2 linked regions of the Alligator mississippiensis genome follow. The protein of the gene in region 1 interacts with the protein of each later gene in a biochemical or structural test. Links are inferred from orthologs where the notes say so. Each region holds a gene or a part of one and is shown in the gene's direction. Other genes may lie near its edges.

The links. The genes of interacting proteins can lie anywhere in the genome.
Region 2: the proteins of TOP1 (region 1) and NCL form a complex in vitro, tested with the Homo sapiens proteins (2 studies listed by BioGRID and IntAct). The link is inferred for Alligator mississippiensis from reciprocal best matches to the Homo sapiens genes TOP1 and NCL.

What each region holds. Positions count from the first base shown.
Region 1 is NC_081832.1:17,918,932-17,929,193, reverse strand, and holds the start of TOP1 (DNA topoisomerase 1), read left to right. Parts: upstream 1-6,062; 5' UTR 6,063-6,190; coding exon 6,191-6,223; intron 6,224-6,499; coding exon 6,500-6,524; intron 6,525-10,262. UniProt on the Homo sapiens protein: Releases the supercoiling and torsional tension of DNA introduced during the DNA replication and transcription by transiently cleaving and rejoining one strand of the DNA duplex.
Region 2 is NC_081830.1:85,136,896-85,146,878, forward strand, and holds the start of NCL (nucleolin), read left to right. Parts: upstream 1-5,374; 5' UTR 5,375-5,466; coding exon 5,467-5,484; intron 5,485-5,836; coding exon 5,837-5,959; intron 5,960-6,699; coding exon 6,700-6,934; intron 6,935-7,617; coding exon 7,618-7,770; intron 7,771-8,247; coding exon 8,248-8,436; intron 8,437-8,715; coding exon 8,716-8,805; intron 8,806-8,934; exon of another isoform or gene 8,935-9,004; intron 9,005-9,109; coding exon 9,110-9,245; intron 9,246-9,983. UniProt on the Homo sapiens protein: Nucleolin is the major nucleolar protein of growing eukaryotic cells. It is found associated with intranucleolar chromatin and pre-ribosomal particles. It induces chromatin decondensation by binding to histone H1.

The sequences.
Region 1 (10,262 bases):
ATGTAAACTTTCTCATAATGTAGTCACAGCCAATATCAGCTATTGTTCCCTAACTAGTAATTACCCATGATTACAAACCTCTCCCTTCCTGGATGAAACTCAGTAATTAAAACTGGCCTTTGAAAGTTACCACTCACAATGGAACTGCTAGTTGTGCTGGATCTGCTCCTGCATGCTACATATTAAGCCATGAATAATTGCTGCAATTTATCAAGGTGGAAAATAAGCTTTCAGTAGTGTGGAGATCATTTTGTTTCAAAATATAATATAACAACAAAATACAGATCAGTATAATTGGCATGACTGTTTCTCAGCAGGTTATCTTGGAAAAAAAACAAATGGAGGCAATTATTGATCTGGGTTTTCACTTTTCAAAAAGTTGTTTGGTTACACATATTTACACTGATGTGGAATCCAGGAAATCATGCAGGTATGTCTGGACACAAAAACCTGAAGGCTGGAAATATACCTACAGCATTGCCAAACCCAGACATCTAAGAATCATGATCCCACCCTCAAAATGATAACACAGTCTTTAAAAATCAGTACATTTTGTTTGTGCATATCTTCAGGATCCTTTCTTTGTATTTTATTTTTCTAAGACTTTATGCTGCACTTGCTTCAGAACTACAAAGGCTAGAAATTTAGTTTTTCCTTCAGCTGAAACCTGAAATTGTCCTGAAATCTCTTGATTCTAGTAGCGGGGGTCTCTAAGAAAGGGGGAAAAGAACCCCAGTTATAGGATTTTCTACAAAAGCAGCAGAGGTGACAACACCATACATATACACATGTACGCACATATAATTTTGCATATTCACACATACATGCACACTTTTTTCTCTCTGACTACAGTGTCAAGGATCTGGATCCATGGCTTTATAATCTAAAATGGCAAGGAATTATATCTATTAAAATGTAAAATCTAGTAGCATTATATATAGAAATAAATGTAATCCAAAAGATAAGTAATTCTGGAATTACTGTAGAATTATTTTATGCCAGGTGACATAAATACATGGGTGGTTTAATTTTCAGGTTGCTGATTCAGAACTTTGGGTCACTGCTACCTACATCTTTGCTTTTATCGTTACCATCTGATTTTTAGGCCTGAAACACTAGACTACAGTGCTACTATATTCACTCCCCTACAGTGCTGGTTGACCCACTTTAAATAATGAATTACCATCAATTGTAACAGCATGTACTGAGATCCCTGAGCAGGGGAAACAGCTGCTACACTATTGCAGTCCCTTTCAAGTACAGGGTACAGAGGTACAGGAGAGGAGACTGTTACATGCAGTACCTGGGCACTCCTTATTTTGACCCCATCTGCCCTTATTTTGATCTTGTCCCCAAGGTTTCCCATTGGGTGCGTGCTGCTAGTGATAATATATGTTATCTGAAGGTGAGTGCTCCCCACAACTACTAATTGAGGAGTATGGTGTATAGTGTTCTCCATTTTCTTTGACAGGTGACAGTGCCTTGTGTGGCTTTAGGCACCTGCAGGCACATATCCGATGGAGATAATCTATCTAAGGTAGTCCACTGTAGTGTATTCATTCTGCACCGGTCCTGCTTAGGTGGAGGGCTCAAAGCCACAGCATGTCCTTCTGACTGTATTTGTACATTTGACAAACCTGCCCCTCCCTGTGCAACTGCAAAGATCCCTGAGCACATTAGAAGGATGATGATTCTGCCATGAAGAAGGGTCAGATATGGGGACACTGTTTCTCACCCGGACAGAGGTACAGCAGAAATGGAGGCTACTACTACTGCCCTGAGATCACCAAGCAGCCACAAACCTGGCTTGGGAAAAGACTTTTTGCAGCTCCTCCGAGTACACCAATTAACTTGAGCTGGCCCTGATAACAGGATTTGACCCTTCATTTGACCCAACAGTTAAAAGAGGGAGATGGAACCGCAGCATCCCCAACAGCTTTCTTTAAAACAAGATTCTAATAAGATCTTTATTTTGTGTCTGAGTAGAGCTCTTGAAGACTGGCAAAAGGAAAAGGTATCAAAGTACTTAGGAGCTAAGTGAGTAGAAATTCAACTGGTCTGAAGATTTTAGGGCTTTTTACTGATTTATTATGGTATTCATTGGGATTTATTATTTCATGTAAAATATTCCAGCTATTTCTTTTCAAACCTATCACCTTAGTTTTATTTAAATGATCTTAGGATGCTCTGCCGACCTGTTGAGTCAGCAGACAGACTGAAACAATAGCTCCAAGAAGTGTGAACTTCCAGCATTTATCTTTATGGGGTGTGAACTGTCTTGCTAGTTAACTGACCCTCATCACACCCTCTCTGCTGGCCTCTGCAACTGAGACATCCAATTAAAATGGACTCATGTCCTGGACTGGATTTCTTTTTTTTTTTTGGAAAGATGTTCCACTGCAAGGAGGATGAAAATTTTGAATGCAAGATAGCCAAATATTCCTCCAGTTATTAGGGTAAAAGGCATGCTTGCAACTGTGCTTCTGATTAAGACAGAAAGTTACATCAGCTAAAAACTGCCGGACTCCCCTGGTGCTGTCTATAGAATCTAGAAGGGCACCAAAAAATTGTGAGTTTTCTCTGAAACTTGCTGCAGCAGAAGCAGCTGCAAAAGCATTTCAGTCTGATATGCTTATACATATCTTCTGAATGATGTTTTATTCCAATCCTGCCTCCCCCTGATGGCACAAGAAGGTTCAGCTGAGGGAGAAAAAGGTGTAATATTCCTTCAAATTTCACTCATAAAGTAGTTGAGGCACCAGAATAACTGGGAAGCCTCCCAGGAGATTTTCCAGAGGTTCAAAATAAATCTCCAACATGGTCCTTGGGATTAGCTCCCGCTGGTGCTCAGCTATCCTGCTTGGCCCTTCTTGGAAGATGCTCCCAGAGCCAGCCTTATAGAAAATGGCACCTGGAGTGAACTTGTATTTTGGTGCCCACCCCAACACCCCCACAAGTCAGCAGAACTGTTGCAGGCACAGTCGGGCAGGCTGTGGCACAGGGCACAATCCAGTGGCAAGGTGGAGTAGCATGGTGCGCCAGGCAGGCTCACACTGCCTGGCTCAACTCCTTCTCAGCAGCGGCTGGAGGCAGGGGGCCAGGCTGGGCTAGGCATTCCTCCTCCTGCCTAGGGTAGGGATTGGCCAAGGCGGGGTGGGTGGAGAGCGCCACTATGAGTGCAGGCTGCTCACAAGTGTGTGAGTGTGCACGCGCTCACAAGTATGTGTGCGTGCATGTGTGTGTGCACTCACAAGTGTGCGCGCACACGCTCACAAGCATGTGCGCACACGTGTGTGTGTGTGTGTGTGTGTGTGTGTGTGTGTGTGTGTGTGTGTGTGTTAGGCCTGTGCAAGTAGGCAGCTATTCGATCCGGCTTTGGATCCAGCAGCTTCGGATGCCAGGGATCCGATCTGCAGCTCCAGGCCAGGTTTCCACTTTGATCCAGCTGAAGTGGCCCTGAAGCTTTGAAGCCGCCTCGGAGATCCGGCCATAGGGTATAAGGGGGAATTAATGAAATAGCTATAACTTCAGGAAGCATAAGACTGATTCTCACTCTATTTTCTTATACGAAATGATACTGCTTCTTCAAAAAGACATGTATTTAGAGATTTTCACTATAGCCAATGCTGTGGGAACTAAACACCCCATACTGTCCTGCTGTGACAAAAGGTAAATACGGTAACAAATAAGTGGATACTTAGGACTTCCTGGTTATCATTCTAGTCCCACCACAGGTGCTCAGAATATGGGAGCTGCAGAGCAGAATTCAAATCCTTGTACTTCAGTAGCACAGGCCCTTGCTACTTCTGTCAGAGAAGATTTTCTGCAAGCAACAGTGTAGATGTCTCTGAGACACAATGCAATCCCTTGACAAGACTTATTTAAAAACCTATCTGTTAGTAAAGCATTTTGCATAATAAACAGATTTAGAGCCAGAAATACTTGGGGGCTGTGGGTAAAAAGGAAGTCCTCAGATCCTCTTCTGAAGGGTGTAAGAGAATGACAAGTGTTTTACCCTTACAGAACTATAAATATAACATGCAAAAGGTGACTGATGCTGCCTGCTCACATTCGTGTGCTTTTTTTGAGCTCTTCATTTAGCCTGGTAGCACAGGATTATTTTCATATCAAGTCAAGGCTCCAGTAGTATAAAGGAGCAGGGAAAAGATATACTTCATGTTGTAGTACTGCATGGAACTTGTGATGGAAGACAAGGCGGTCCTCTGAGATATTGTACTAGCTATACATATTAAACTTGTCCATTCAGTAGACCAGAGAGAAAGCTCCTTTGGTACAGACAATTAACAGTTGCAGAACAGAAGCAGATGTCCTTAGGATTTTTTTAAAAGAAGGTACAAGATGTAGCTAAAGGGGGAAAAAATTAAAAAATCCCTGTTCTCCCTCAATTTCCTTGCTGGAAATTAGGTTAAAGGGCATGTCTACACTAGGAAAAAAATCTTTGGGCTGTTCTGAATTTACAATGAAAACTTCTAACTTATGAAGCACTGGTGATTATTACCTTTGTCTTAAAGACCAGCACATGTCTACCCCATCTCCATCTCTGCTCTATTTCTTAGCATTGTGTTTGTTTGTACAGCATCGAGAACATAGCCTTTAATGCTGACTGTGGGTTTAACAATATTATTGTTGTTAGTAGTAGTAGTAATAGTAATAATGATGATACCAGCTTGACCATCTACTCACTCTGTGCATGTGTCCTACAGAAAGGCTATATTTCCCACCACAATAAACTTCCAACGTTAAATATTCATCATCAAATTACAAGTGAGAGGACCTGATTCTCTACCTTCTTCCACCAGTTTGACATTAACGTGACTCACTTACCGTTAGTGGCATGACTGGTGCAAAACCAATACAAGGAAACAGAGAATCAGGTTCATAAGACATGAGAAGTTACAGCTGAGAGGAAAAATGGGAAAAAAATGAAACACTGAGACAAACAATCAAGATCCTATATTGTTATGGCTATGCTAATGATATACTCTGCTATAATTGGGCCTGTGGTTGAATAAAATGAAGGGTTGCAAATGAGGATTAGGTTACATAGATGCCACCATAATATAAACAAACACTACTTACAAGAAACTTATCCACATGCGGAAAAGTCTATTATTTTAACCCCTAATATAGCAGGTGAAGACAAAGAGATGATGTGGGGCTTGATCAACATACAGTTAGTGACAGTCCCTGCCCCAAGGAATTTACAATCCTTCTGATGAAGTCAATTAACCTGAGCCTAAACACATTACCGCTGACACCGGGATCATGGCTGGATGTCTGGTCCGTGTCACTGCTGTCTCTGCAGCAAGCCCAGGTATAGACTCATTTAAGGGGAAGCTAGAGAAGGTGAAAGTAGAGATGTGAGGAATGTGTTCAACCTGTCACCTGCCTTCACTTCCTGGCCCTGCCCCTGCCCCCACCTCTCTACTTCTACCTCTACCCCTGCCCCCTGCTCTTGGGCTGGGGCTGCAGAGCTAGTGCCCTTTCCCACCTGCCCCCTCCCCCTGCTGCGCCTATGCCCCGCACGCTGCCCTGCCCGACCTGGCAGGCAGGGAGAAGAACGCAGGCCGCTGCATCCTGCCTTTGCCCCTTTCATGCCACTCACACAAGCAGCTGACAGCCCAAGAGGGCGGAGCTTGAAGAACCAGGGCGGGGCCCCGTATGCAAATAGAGAACCCCCGGCGGGGAGACGTTGCGCATGCGTATTCAGCGCCGGTTGAGGCCGGCTCTTACACAATGTGCTGCAGGGCGGTAGGCGCCTTCCTGCGCCAGGGCGTGTCCGAATATGCAAATGAGAGCCCGCATCGCCTCGGCGATTGGAGGAAGGGCAGGAAGAGGTGGGACCGGATATGTAAATAAAGCCGGCGTTCTAGGGTGGGGGTAGGGTACACCGAGAACTCAGCCGGCATTTTTCGTAAAGGGGGCGGAGCCTGGCGCGAGCCTTACCCGGCGTCCCGCGCGCGGGTGGGCGGGGCCCGCATGCAAATCTTGGCGCCCGTTCCTCCCTCCCACCCCCGCTTTAAAAGCCGCGGCGCCTGCGCACTGAGGGCAAATAAGGACTTAGTCTGTTACACAAGCGGCTGCGGAGCGAGGGGCTGCGCTGTGGCCGCCGACTCCACTGCTCCCAGGCGCCTCAGCTCTCCCGCGGCCTCCCCACACAGCGGCCGGCATGAGCGGAGACCAGCTGCACAACGACTCCCAGGTGACCCCCCTCGGGCACCGCGGGGCGGGCGTCCCCGCCGGCCCTTCCCCACTGCCCTCGGCCGGGCCCTTCCCCGCCGGGCCCCGGGCCTAGCCACGCCACGGGGAGGGCGCTGGGGGTTTCCTCCCCTCCCTGTGCGGGTTTGGAGGGTGGGGGGGACCCCCCGACCGGGCCGCGGATGGGGTGGGGGGGGCTGCTCCCTTGTGAAACGCAGCCGACATGGAGCCGCCGGCGCCGCCGTAACCCATTGTCGCTTGTCTCCGCTTCCCCCCGCAGATCGAGGCGGATTTCCGAGCCAACGGTGAGTCCGCCCCGGCCCCGCGGCCCCCGCGGCCCAGCTCGGGCACGGCCAGACATGGCGTCCCAGAGACTAAGTCCCGGCTGCTCGCTCACCGGCCCCATTGTTCCCATCGAGCCGCCCAGTGCTGCCGCCTGCTGCCGCCGGGGCCCCCGCCCGCCCGCTCCCCCGCCAGGGGCGGCCCCCCGGCCCCCGCCCCGGCCCCCATCTCGTCCCCGGGGCTCCCCTTGGGCCCCGATTCCTCCCTGGAAAGTCGCCTTGTCGACGGTCGGGACTTAGTCTCTGCGCCATTTTCTTTTTCTCCTCTCCTCTCTCTCCTGTGCGTGTGTCTTTTTCTCTCCTTCTCCTCCTTCCCTTCGCCGCTGGGAACCAGCCTCCTGCCGAGGAACCCGGGCCAAGTGGCCCCCTCCTGCCCTCGCACCCTTCTTCCTGGGGGGGAAGGCGATTATTTTTTTAGGCTAAATCGGCCCCCCTCCCCCTTCCTCGAGCTGCTTTTGCTGCAGCCGCCCCCCTCGGCTCCCCGGCTCCCAGCCTGCCAGTCATTCCCTCCCTTCCCTCGCATGAAAGGTGGTTGCAACATGTTGCTCTTTAAAAGATTCTGCTGCATCCATTTTAAGCCCAGGCTTTTATTTCTTTGAATGGCTTTAACTTTCACCTGGCTGGGTGGGGCTTTAACTTTTATTTTCAGCTTCAGAAAAAAACTATAAAAGACAGCCAAGGCAATGGCAGCAAAGGAGAGGGCATCACTTCAGAAAGTTCACCAGTCCGCTGTTCATTGTGGTGGGGAGGGTTGGAGGAGTTTTATGGGTGGCAGGGGCTTTTTCTTTCTTTCTTTTGGGGGTGGGGGGAGGATCTATTACAGGGTAGCATATAGGTTGCACCTCTTCTCCCCCCCCCCCCCCAACTGGTGGGTGGTATTGTTCAAGGGACTATTATTACCTGCCTCTACATCCATGTGTCACTGTTACACGGTGAGTTACATGAAGAGCTCTGTCCCCTGATTGATGGAGGGTGGAGACGGGGGGAGGACCATGGCCCAGGTGTGTGAAGGTGCCTTGAACTCATTCTTCCCTCACTCTGGAAAGGTCACTGAACTGGCCCCCCACACCTTTGGGGCAGCACTGTTTTTATGAGCCTAGGTTCTTGCCTTCCCTGCCATACTGTTTTGGATACTGTTTGTGTGTCTACCTGCTTTGCAACCTGTTCTTTGTCTTGCATGTGAATATTAGTGTGTACCCATCTCTTGGTACCTGTGCATATGAATAAAATGAAATGGTGTAAGTGTGTGTATGTAACAGGATTGTGGTGATTTAGTTACTCGGTTCTTAAACAATTTTTCCATTATATAGATAACGTGAAGCCCCAAAACTAAATATTTAAAGGAAGAAGGGGAAAATCGCTTACTGCTTGGACCCGAATTGGGTTTCTTAGAAATACTTAAAATATGCATGTGTATGAATTTTTGTAACCTTCATATGCAGATAAATATTAGGGGTAATTGTAGTCAGAAAAAAAAGCCTCAGTTACTTGCTAATTTACATATGTGAAGTGATGCATGTCGATCCCTCTATCCCAAATTGTGGTGACCAGCTTAACTGGGATTTCCCTTCTAACATATTAAGGCTAGCTCTGCTTGGTTTCTTTTGTTCCTAATTAGGGATGCTTTTAGAAATGCAGTGCTAGATGCTCTTAACTCTTAGCCTTTTCTTGTCCCCGCACAACTGCTGAAGGAAGTCTGGTACACAGATTTAAACTAAGAACATGTCGGGTACCTCTGACACTGTACACCGGTGAATTAAAGGTGTCTGAATTTCGGGCAGTGAAGGCATTGTAGACTTCTGCCTTCGCATTGCAATCCCATATCTTCCTTTTGTTGTCAGTAGACATGACTAGCTAATTTTTTTTTTATTTTTTTTTATTTATTTATTTTTTTATTTTGTCCCTTAGTGGCCCAGGAACTCTTCAGCAATGAATGATGCTTGTAACCCTGTTTGGCTTGTTAGGAGAATAGCACTATTAGTAGCCTGTGTCTTTTCTGACCTTGCCAAAGCTTTAACTTCTGGGAACATGGAGTTTTTTTTTTCTCTTCAGGTTCTTCCTTGCTTCTATTGCACAGTAATATCCTTTGCTTCTGTCACATAGCAATCTTAGAATATCGTCTTTCATTTTAGGCATGGTGCTGGGGCTCTGCTTTTTATATACTTGTTTTGATTTTTTTTTTTTAATTAGTGCTGAGGATTGGGTGGGGAGTAGTAAGACTCCCACGGATATTTTTTTTCCAAACTCTTAAAAATGTTGGCTACTTTACTCTGTTCTGTGGGCAACAAATGTGTGCGTCTCTTTTTTTTTTTTTTTTTTTTCCAGACCCTTTGCTTATTACAGTTACAAGGCTGAAGGGAAGTTTCATTAATCCATAAAATATAAGTATTAGGCAGAGATGCCTTCTTAGGAATAAAGAATATATTGGGTATCTTCTGATTTATAGTATTTATAATGCATTGGCTACATACTTGCAATTAACTATTCTTATTATGACAAGGAACTTGACATTTGATCTGGAGACGCACTTGTAAGGAATGATTCGGGTATAAAAGGTCCTGCTGGGTATAAGATAAGGATGGAGTAGATGACCACTCAGAGAAAGAGTTGGGAAGGATCTGGTTTTTTTTTAGTCTGCACTCATGCAACCTTTTTATTTTAATCACTTCATCCATCTTTGTTAGTTTGCAGTATATGAAGGTGGCTCTTCTAATTTTAAGGGAGACCTTCCAGAAATACTCAGGTTATGGTTCAGAATGTAGCAGTGTTGTCTCGGAATACAGTCCAAATAAATTTAGTATTTAACTTGATGTAAAGTATTGCAATATTGGAGGCAATACTGTACATAAAACAAGGTCCTGACTGTTTCTGGCTATTAAATAATCATACCAGTGTTTGTAGGACTATCCTGGGTGAATTCCTACTTGGTCAGCTGCAGCAATGGAGGTAGTTAGACCAATTTAATTTGGCTATAGTATTTTTCAATGGTTCTTTGGTGTTACTATGAACTGTTAGGAACTTAACATGTTTGGTCTTAGAAGTGATGACATGTCCTTTTGTGTAGTGAAGTGATTTAATTGCTTAGTGTATAAATGCATTCTTAGCTGATGATGTTGTAAGCGGTGCACTGTTAAAACACCAACCTGAAATATATTTACCATTTTAGAAAATATCTTCATCACAGTATGTAAACTTCTTATTTTCTGGTGCAAGATGTCATTTTAATGTACAGTTATGGTCACCGTCTGAAAATGACACCTTGTTCAACAGATGTATACTGAGACATACCTGCATGTATTGAGGGCAAAAAAACCTTACTCCATACTATTCGTTTTTTCTTGTAGAGATAGTATAGATTTGAAATCTGGCTGGATTTTCTTGGTCTCTGCTTAATAAATAGTATTGAAAACTAAGTTTCAGTTAAAGAACTTCTTATTACTGATGAGAACAGACAGGTCAGAAGGAATTTAAGTTTGACTTTCAGTTCTCCCATTGTGTTTGAAGAACACAACAGTTAGAAACAATATCATTATATTTCTAAAACTCATGTGGAACTCCTATGATGCATTACATTTTAAATCCCTACAATGCCATTTCTACAGCATAAGGCTATATCTTACCTGACCATCACCCTGTGTTCCAAATGCCTACAAAATCTAATGGAAGTTCTGCTTTAAAAATCTTTCAGGTGTGGCCCTCAGG
Region 2 (9,983 bases), on another chromosome or scaffold:
GGACTCGGGCAGCTTTGGAATAAACCGTGGCACTTGGCGGCATGAGTTATTGCTGCTGGGCCAGCTCCCAGCGGAGGATTTACCCTGGCACAGAGCAGGGCTGACGGTGCTGCAGCCTTTTGTCACCATCTAGTGGGAGCATCGAGTGCAGATGCAGCCCTCCGCCGGGTGGATGTACCTGCCAGGGGTGGGTGCCATCGACTTGGTGTGATGGGTCACACATCACGGAGCTTGCTGGGGCACCGAGCCCAGCCCCACATCAGGCAATCCCCCTTATAAAGACATCACCCTAAATGCAACGGACTTTTTACCCCATGACACCCTATGGGATGCTATCCCAGAACCCGGGCCTTTCTTCCTCTGTAATTCCTAGCCTCCGGGCCAGTTTAACCTGCTGTGTGCTGGGGCCAGCAGCATCCCTCATAGCTCTTTTGCCTCCCATCATCTTGCACTGGCTTCTGCATCCTAGATGGCACCTGCTCAGGACACGGATGACATGCCCGGCAATGGTGCTTGGAGGCACGGTGCTTAGTCCACGGTCCCGATTGCCCATGGAGATCAAAGATCCCTTTTAAACGAGGAGGGTGCAAGCTGGAGGACGGTGGGGAGAACCTGGATCCTGTTCTTGGATCTGCCACAGACACACGTGACCTTGGTCAAGTCCCTTTGTCTCTCTGAGCCACTGTTTTCATGTGTAGCACAGGGAGAGGCAGCACCTCCCGCGGTTGCAGCAGGGACAAGCCCAAGGCCTCCTCCCACTACATAGGGGTGTGGAAGGTGTGTATCTCTAGCTACAGACCAGGCTAGAGCATAAACTCAGGGGTCCTGCAGTTCACAAGCTCATTGTCCCATTAAGTACCCGTGAAGTACTCAGAATAGCACTCCCCCATCCCAACAATAGTGTCTAATTCAAGCTAATTGCCATTCAAGCAGCATGTGTAGTCCCTCCTGTTTTGATGTGAGGCAAAGCCTGGGGCAGTCAGCCCTGGGATAAACCCGCTGCTTTTATCCAGCGTCATAGGCACACACACGGCATCCAACCGAGAAACCTTGCAGTCTAATGAACTGACTGTGGGCCTGGACCCAGAACACCTGAACGGCCACTGCTTCCCTCAACGGCCTTCGGTAAATGCCTTTGCCTGTCTGTGCCTCAGTTTCCCTGGGGGCCAGCCGAGCAGTCACTGCTCTGTGTCCACCGCACAGGACCCGGAGGACAGCTGACTGCTCACCTATGCAGTGCCAGGGAGAAGTGATGCCTTTCAAAGCACTGGGGGGTTTTGCTGCCGGGGGATCTGAAAGGTGGCCCTGCATGAGCTAAGATGCAGGGGAAGGGCCCCCGGTTCACCTGCCAGGCCCTTGGCCAGGCTGGAGATGAGTCCGGGCATGACGTTAGCAGTCCCTCGACTGAGGATGATCTCTGACACAACTCATGGATGGGGCTTGAGGTGACTGAAGAGTCCAGGGCTTGAGCCGCAGATCCTGCAGGTTTTCTGCAGGGGAGAGTAGGCTGCCGGCTGGGATTGCTCTCCCTTTCCTTCCTCCGTTCTCTCTTCTCTGCTTCAAGGGCAAGACGCTTTACCTCGAAACCGGCTGCTGCTTGGTTGAGGTTGTGGCACCGCTGGGGCTGCATCACAGCCTGCTCCTGCCAGCTCTTGATGTCGACATCCGTCCTCTCGAGGTGGGCACGACATGACCGCGGTCCTGAGCCCTTGCGGCGTGGGCCCGGGGCTGCTAGAGGCAGGGCAATTTGCAGACTCAAGGTCCCCTCGCCAGACTCAAGGCACCCTTCAAGCTTGATTTCCGAGTGCTGAAAAGCTTTCTTTTTGACTGCTGAAAAAATACCGTTTCATATTTCACCGACAAGCACCTGCCGGGAAAAGCATTCTGTCTTTTTACTGCTCTGTGAAACATGAAACGGCACAACCCGAAAGAAATACGACTGCCTCCTGCTTGCCCCCAGATAACTTTGAGGCAAACAGACTATTCCAACGTTTCTCTGAGCCTAACCTGCATAAAATGAACGGTGCCAAACCGGAGATTTTACCACACCTTTAACTCTCCTAGGAAATATGAACTTTCATTTCTACCTGGGAGAATTTGACAGTCTTTTCTCCGATGCCTGAGGACGGGTGTTTGTGCCCGTAAACTTGCAAGGAAAGGAATTTTTTTTGTAAAAAAAATCTAGTTGGTCTAATAAAAGATATCGCCTCTACGAGTCCTGATTGCCTCTAGACCAATACGGCTACAACCTGGATACCTTGCCTACACGTGCACCAAGATGCCCTCTCAGGCTAAGGTGATTCATGAGTCGCCGCATGAAGGCCGAGGGCAATTTTAGTCCCCAAGCACATGGCACAGCCCCTCTTCCAAGCAGCCCGTGAGTGAATAACTGACTGAGGACACAGTCTCCCCACCTAGCCCGGCCCCCCTCTCCGGCTGCCACCCTGCTCCTATGGGGAGCATGGGGTCTCCATGGTTTGGGGGTTTTTTGCAATATCTTAGCTGGTCTAATAAAAGGTATTATCTCTGAACTAAGAGCTCTAGAGTTTTGCACATCTATATATGCCAGTAACGAGTCATTGTCCCCTGGCAGGGGTCATGTGGATGTACAAATGCTGGGGCAGGTGCCGGCAGAACCAGCCACCAAAGCAGCCTGGGGAAGCCAAGGCCTTGCTATGCTCTGCTCTGCAAGGGCAGGTGTAACTTGGAGGCAGGGGCTGGGCTATAGAGTTGCTCCAGGTGTGGACACATCATCCTTTTACTGGGTAGGGCCTAGATTCACCTTCTCCCACTAGCAGAATCTACCAAGAGCAAGAGCTGCTAGAAGCACGAAAGCCTTCACCCCTCCCCTCCGTGGGCCATGGGGACCACCTCTATGGCATTTTGGTCAAAAAAACCCCAAAGCCTGCTTGCATGATTTCTAAATTAGCCATTCTGAACGCAACCCGCACCATTGGGAAATCCCCACTGGCAGCCATGGAAACTCCAGCTCTTTGCTGACTTTTCTGATATTTGCAAGACAAAGCAGATGCAATCTGCGTGCTCCTATCACGCTGCCTTTACTGTATTGTTTTGGGGTTAGGCGGTTACACAGCCGGCTTCCAGCACACTGCGTGGTACGGAGGACGCATCTCAGATTGCAGGCAGACTAGCATGTCCACACACCCAATTTTACAGAAAATGAATTGATGTGAACTACCCAGAGCAGGTTTGCTAGTGATCGATACGGCTTAATAAAGCAGGTTACAGATTGACACAGCGGGTTTGTTAGAGATTAAAGAGATTAGACGGTTAAAATAAAACTACTGCTAAGTGAGAGTAAAATTTCACAGCATTTGAAGGAGGGACTGTCTCTTACTATGAGCATATAGAGGCCCTGCACAACCGCTCTTTGATCTGGGTTGTTCCCCAGGTAGTAGCAATTAATAGCTTTTGTGTTGTCAGCCAACACTTGTGGGATTCCCATGGGCTGCTCCGGGAGCCGGGTGTGTTTTCCATAAACATGTGGTAGCAAAGGGCATTTACTAGATCAAAGACTCCTCTCTGGGTTTTTTTGGCTATCTGAACCCAGGACTCTTCCGCATTAATTGCCATTGGAGGTGAGCAGGACTCGCGCCAGACCCGTCTTCCTGGAGGAAGAGGCAAAAATAAAAGGAAGAATAAGAGGAGTAGAGACGGAAGGAAATCATGAACGAGAGGGGTGGGAAAGGAGGAGGGAAAACAGATCTTTTATTCCTAAATTTTTATCAAGCAAAAGGAAAAAATGTATCTATACCAACGAAATCTGACCCCTTCCTCCCCCAAAGTGCCAAGATGCTATGAACAGGCCATGTTCTTTGGGTAGATGCGAGATCTGTTATTAGACCGACTAAATAGTTGGAAAAATTGCTCTTTGCGAGCTTTTGGGCACAAACACCCTTCTTCAGGCATATATAGACTCTGCCGGTGAATTGTGCTATGACTTCTCTTATGAACATCACTATAGCAGCTGATTTTACATAGAAGGGATTTAGCTCCTATGGTGCTGGGCGGCAGGATAAATCCCTGCGGAGGGCTCATCCGCACAAGCCGCTCCCGAAGAAGTCAGTAATGGTACCTGGCTACTCCGTCCAGGATCACGCCTGGCAGAAGGCAGGGCTGAGTTCAGCCTTGGAGAAGCTTTCACAACCAGCAGCCCACTTCTCCAAGTGCTACAAAAGCCCCTTTATAGCAACTGGTTAGTCTGTAAGGTGCACCTCCCCCCCCGTTCAGACTGCGGACGGCGACCCCCTCCCTGCGCGGAGCCGTCCAGGGAAACCTTCGCACTTTCAAATCACGTCCCCTCCACGATTCGCAGGGAGAGCGAGCCCTCATCCGTGTGCGCCTGTGTGTGTACGTATCTACACCTACGTGTGTCCCCCACGTAGTTAACACACACATACACTCATATAGATGCACATGCACACTCATCTATATATATATATATATGCACATGAACACACACATACACACACACACGCATCAAAACACGGGCAGAGAAGGTTCCTTGGGTGAATTTGATCTTTTATTAGACCAATATGCATCAACACACACATCTACACACACGCATCAACATATACACACACACATCTACACACACGCAACATATGCACACATGCATCTATACACATATACACATGTATACACACACACCTACATGTATTATACACATGTACATACATCTACATACATATCTACACACGCATATACACGTACACGTGTGCATCTATAGACATGCATGAATGCGCACACACATACACATGCACGCATCTATACAGGCACACACGAATGCACACGCACGCACACACACACATGTGCAGACAAGGTTCTTTGGGCACACGCTGTTAGCCCCACTCCAACAGCTCCCCGCGTCTACACGTCCCCATCTGGAAGCTGCACACAGACGTGTCTATTTCGGGGTATCTATCTGTTCCAGGCACAGCCCCGGGGCGGAGACACCTGCACACACACGTACACCCCTCCCCCCACGGACAGTGTCAGGGCCCAGGCGCGCGCAGCCCCCCCCGCTCGACCCGGCCCAGCCCAGCACCCCCAACCCAAGGCCCAACCCCACGTGGTCCCGCAGGCGCCACGTGCTCGGCCCCTTCCCCAACCCCCACGCCCCGCCCAATCAGCGCGCGGGAGCCTAACATCGCGCCCCGCCATTGGCTACCTCTCCCCCCCTCAGCACTTCCCTAGAACGCGCTTCCCCATTGGCCGGCGCCGGAAGCCGCGCGGATTGGCTCGGCTCCGTCCGGGGGGAGCTGTGCCGATTGGGCGCCGACCCTGCGCGGGGGCGGGCCGGGCCGCGGCGCGGGCTGCGATTGGCTCCAGCGGGGCGCGGAGGGCGGGGCGAAAGGCGGAGGTGGGGAGGGGCGCGGGGACGCCGCGCTCACTCCGTCGTTGCAGGCCGAGGCGCCAGTCGCAGCCTCCCGCGCCGCCGCCATCATGGTCAAGCTCGCCAAGGTGAGGCCCGGCCTAGCCTGGCCCTGCGCCCGCGCCCGGCCCCGGGGAGGAGAAGCGAAGGGGGAAGCGGGGGGGGGGGGGAGCAAGACCGCGGTTGGGGGGGCGCGGCCACGTGGTGTCCCCGCGCACGTGGCCCCCCCCCCCGGCCGGGCCTCGTGGTGTGGGCCGCAGGGTGGGGGGGGGCGGGAAACTGCACCTTGGAGACTGACTGGAGCAGGGCACACGTGTTGGGGGGGCAGCCACGTGGGGGGATGGGGCCTAGCCTGGGGGAGGGGGGCAAATTTATCCCGAAATTGGAGGGGGGGGGGAAGGCAGACGCGCCTGACGCGCCGGCTCCTTTCCCGTCTCTCAGAACGCGAAGAATCAAGTCAAGCAGAAGAAAGCTGCTCCTGCGCCGCTGCCGCCGCCCAAAAACGTGGACGACAGCGAGGAAGAGGAGTCCTCCGAGGAGGAAGAGAGCAGCAGCGAGGAGGAGGTGATCGCCCTTCTCTCCCGCGACTCGAGTCGCTTCATCCTTCCCAAAACGGGGAGGGGGCCTTAATCCTTCCCTAAACCAAGCGGGGGGGGGGCACTTAATCCTTTCCTAAACTGGGTGGGGGGAGGGGGTGGCAGAAGCAAAGAGCCATTATTTGAAGAGGGGTATTTTGGGTCTTGCTGAATAACCTTATGGGGGGGGGGCGGGGGGGTCACCTTTTTGGCTGCTTGGTTCCAAAATGCATTTAGTCCGTGGTACTTGCGGGGCCCGGATGTGGTCTGCCGGCAACGGATTGAGCATCTCTGGTGTAGCCTTTTGTATCCGTCCTCCATAAAGTTGGGTGCCTTAATTATCCTCCCCTCCCCCCCCCCCCAAGTTTTGCAGAGCATCACAGAGGACACTGTTCATAGCCACCTTGCTGACAGCTCTGAAAATTGGCACGTCCAGGACACGATTTGTCCCGGAGTTACCGTGTTACGGGAATGAACAGGCGTGATGATACAACGCGCGCAAACGTAGCGTGCGTGTTCCTAATCCGCGCGCAAATGAAGGGTAGCTGTTAACGGGCAGAGTGGCTCGGCCCTTGGGCAGGAAAGGCCAAACCTCCAGCTTATTAGAGGCCCCGGCACATGGTCTCATTTGTGGGTTGTGACTTCGGTAGCTGACAGTTTGAAACCAGCTTTCTGAAGCACGTGTAGGAGTTGCTTAATCATTCCTCGCTCGGTGTTCCCCTCTCTAAGGTGGTGGTTCCTCAGAAGAAAGTAGTTGTGAAAGCAGCAGGCACACCTGGCAAAAAAGCAGCTGCAGCTGCCTCTCCTGGAAAAAAGCCTGCCCCTCCTGCTAAGAAGGTAGCGACTCCACCGGTGAAGAAGGCTGCTGCTCCGGCCAAAGGAGCGAAAAATGGAAAAAATGCCAAGAAAGAGGAGAGCGAGGAAGAAGAAGATGATGACAGCGAGGGGGATGAAGAGGACTCTGGTAAGACAACAGTCATGCAGTTCTCAACCTTTTTACTCTCAAGCCACCTTCCGTAACTCTTAGGAATTGAGCGGCATCCCATTCAGAAACTAATTTCTTTATTGCAGTGCTTACCACCTGGCAGACGGCGCAGGCAGGCGTAGATTCATAGATTGGAAGGGGCTTCGCAAGATCGAGTCCAGCCCCCCTGCCTTAGGCAGGAAAGACGACTGGAATCAAGAACAGGAGGTGGAGCCTGCCCTTAGCTGCTTCTCTCCTCTCACTTTCTGCAGTGCCTCAGGGTGCCTGGGCACACTGGTTGGGCATCGCCAGTCTATCAGTAGTTTGGCTATCTTCAACGAGTACACTAAGATGGTCCAGTCCAGCTGCTTGTGCATTTTCCATCGCAGCTCTGTTGTGCAGTTCAGCACATCTAGTAGTCAAGTGGCACAGGTCTGGCGTAGCATCAAGATGGGGGCAGTGAAAGAAAGATAGGCAAGCTTAATGTTGGAGCTGTATGGAAGCACATGGCATTGGCTCTGTCAGTATTTACGTGATGCTTAAACTGACGATTAGCCCTCTGTTTCCAGAGCTTCTAACTGGACCCAAGTTGGTGAGATGTTAAAGTTTCAGTCAAGGCTGTAGTAACAATAACGTGCTCGGTTGTAGTTTGCAGAACACTGAGTAATTGGCTGTTGTTACAGATGAGTCCGAGGAGGAGGAGGAAGTCCCAGTGCCTGTGAAGCTTGCAGCCAAAAAACCTGTAGCTGTACCCGCCAAAAAACCAGTCGCTGTCCCAGCGAAGCAAGAGTCTGATGAGGAGGAAGATGACGAGGAGGATGACGATGAAGAGGATGGTATGTAGGCTGCGCTTGGTGTGACAGGGCTGAGATGAGGAGCACATGGTTTGAATTGGCATGACTTGCTAAGAGGGTGCCAAAAGACTCCTTAACTTCACATTTTTAAAGGCAACTGCTTATTTGTCCCATTTAGGTCTAAACTAGTGTTTATAGGGCTGCAAGAGCTTAGTGATGGAGCGGTTAACATGTTACTAGTGGGTTTGGAGCACTTATTTCCTGTTGGCGCTTGCAGAGCTTCTTACCATTGGATGGTAGGACTTACGATATCATGGGTGGCACTTAGAGGCGCCCAGCCAAAATTGGTTTGTGCTAGGTATCATGGAGATGCATTAAGAGTTCTTTTTTTTAGAGCTCACAGGCTTAAATGAACAAGATGAGTTGACTGTCCCATTCCCCTCAAAGGGGATTGACGTGAAGTCTCCTTGGTATTGCACAAAATTGCAGCTTGTGTTCTAACATCTCTTATCACTTCAGACTCTGACGAGGAGGAGGCCATGGACATCACCCCAGTGCAAGTGAAAAAAGTAGCTCTAGTGAAGGCAGCTGCTGCTGCAATAGCCAAGGCAGATTCTGAAGAGGAGGATGATGAGGAGGACGATGATGATGATGATGAAGATGACGATGAGGAGGATGATGACGACGATGAAGAGGATGAGGGGGGAAGTGAGTTGAACGTAGCTGTGTATGAATTTGTGCTGTGCAGTAGCACACTGCTGTCTTCTAGAGCAGTTACCATTCGTGAGCAAGTTGTGTCGGAAGTCCTTGATTTGCATAAAACTGGAACTGATGAGAAGTGTTTGAAATGATGATGTGATGGAAATCACACATGAGCGTTTCTCAAGATAGTCAAGTACTGATCCAGTTTGAAAGACTGGTTGTTACTGGTGCCTTAAACCTTGGTTTTTATTTCAACATCTTCCTGTCTTTTCCTCTGTTCCATAGAGCCTGTGAAGGAAGCATCTGGGAAACGAAAGAAAGAAATGGCCAATCAAAAGAGTGCCCCAGAAGTCAAGAAAAAGAAAACAACTGAAGGTAGGTTAGAGAAGCAGCAGTCTGAAAAAGCTTCCTGAGTCTCCAGCTTAGCCTTTAAAGCACTTCTCAAGTGTGAAACCCTGCTGGATGGGGAGTTTGTGCAAAGGCTTTGACTGCTGGGGGGCTGTCAGCACAGGTGATGAGTACTAGGGACTTAATACTGAAGCCTGATGTCAGGTTTTTTTAAAATCTGATGTGCTGAAGTCTGGTGCAGTCAGTGAGTTACAACAGGGTTGCATTTAAGCCGTACAACTTTAGTGTGTGCGTGTTTTTATTTATTTTTTTTATTTTTATTTTTTTTAAGAAAATGCTGAAGCTTTCTCCCTCTTCGTTGGAAATCTGGACCCCAACAAGGACCTGGAGGAACTGAAGACTGGCGTCAAGGATTTCTTTGGCAAGAAGAACCTAACAGTCTTGCAAGTCAGAATCGGCCCGTCCAAGTAAGTTCTCTGCTAAACCTCTGCCTGCTGATGTTTGGAGTGGTGAATATAAATTGCAGGTGTACTTGGTTAGCAGATGAACGTGTAATGAAAGAGGAATAGTTGGACAGCGTGCAAAACTGCCTGAGAAGGTGTGGTTGATCAAAGAGGTGGGGTTTCCCCTGCAACGCATGTTAATTTATTTGATTGTCACTGCCTCCTAGTCCCGTGGCTTTTCTCTAAGCATACCTGTCAGGCAGAGTAAAGAGCCCAAGTGAATTTAACCAGGGAAACGCAAAAAAAGTCACTCAAATTTTCGATTACCTTAAGGCAGTGGTGTCAAACATTCAGCCTGCAAAGCCGTTCAGTCTGGCTGGCTGGTAATCCTGTGAGTTATCAGAAGTTGGCGGTGTGGCCTGTTTGACATGCTCACATGGCAGCAAGCTTCCAGGCTGACTTTGGTGTCCAGCCACCGGGCCTTTGCTGCTACCTCAGTGTGCCCTCACCTTTCACCTACCCTGTGTTGCTGCCTCAGTACAGACCTACTACAGTTGTGTTTTCCCCCTCAGTGCTGAGCACTGGAGGGGAAGAGCCAGAGGGCACTGCTTTTTTTTAATTCCCTTAGGCAGGAGGTGGCCAACCCGTGGCACAGGCTACCTCCTGTATGGCACACGTGATATTGGGGAATTAGCACAGTGACAGAGAGGGTTGGGAGCAGACAGCAAAGTAGCAGGTCAGGCTTGGAGCAGAAAACAGGGT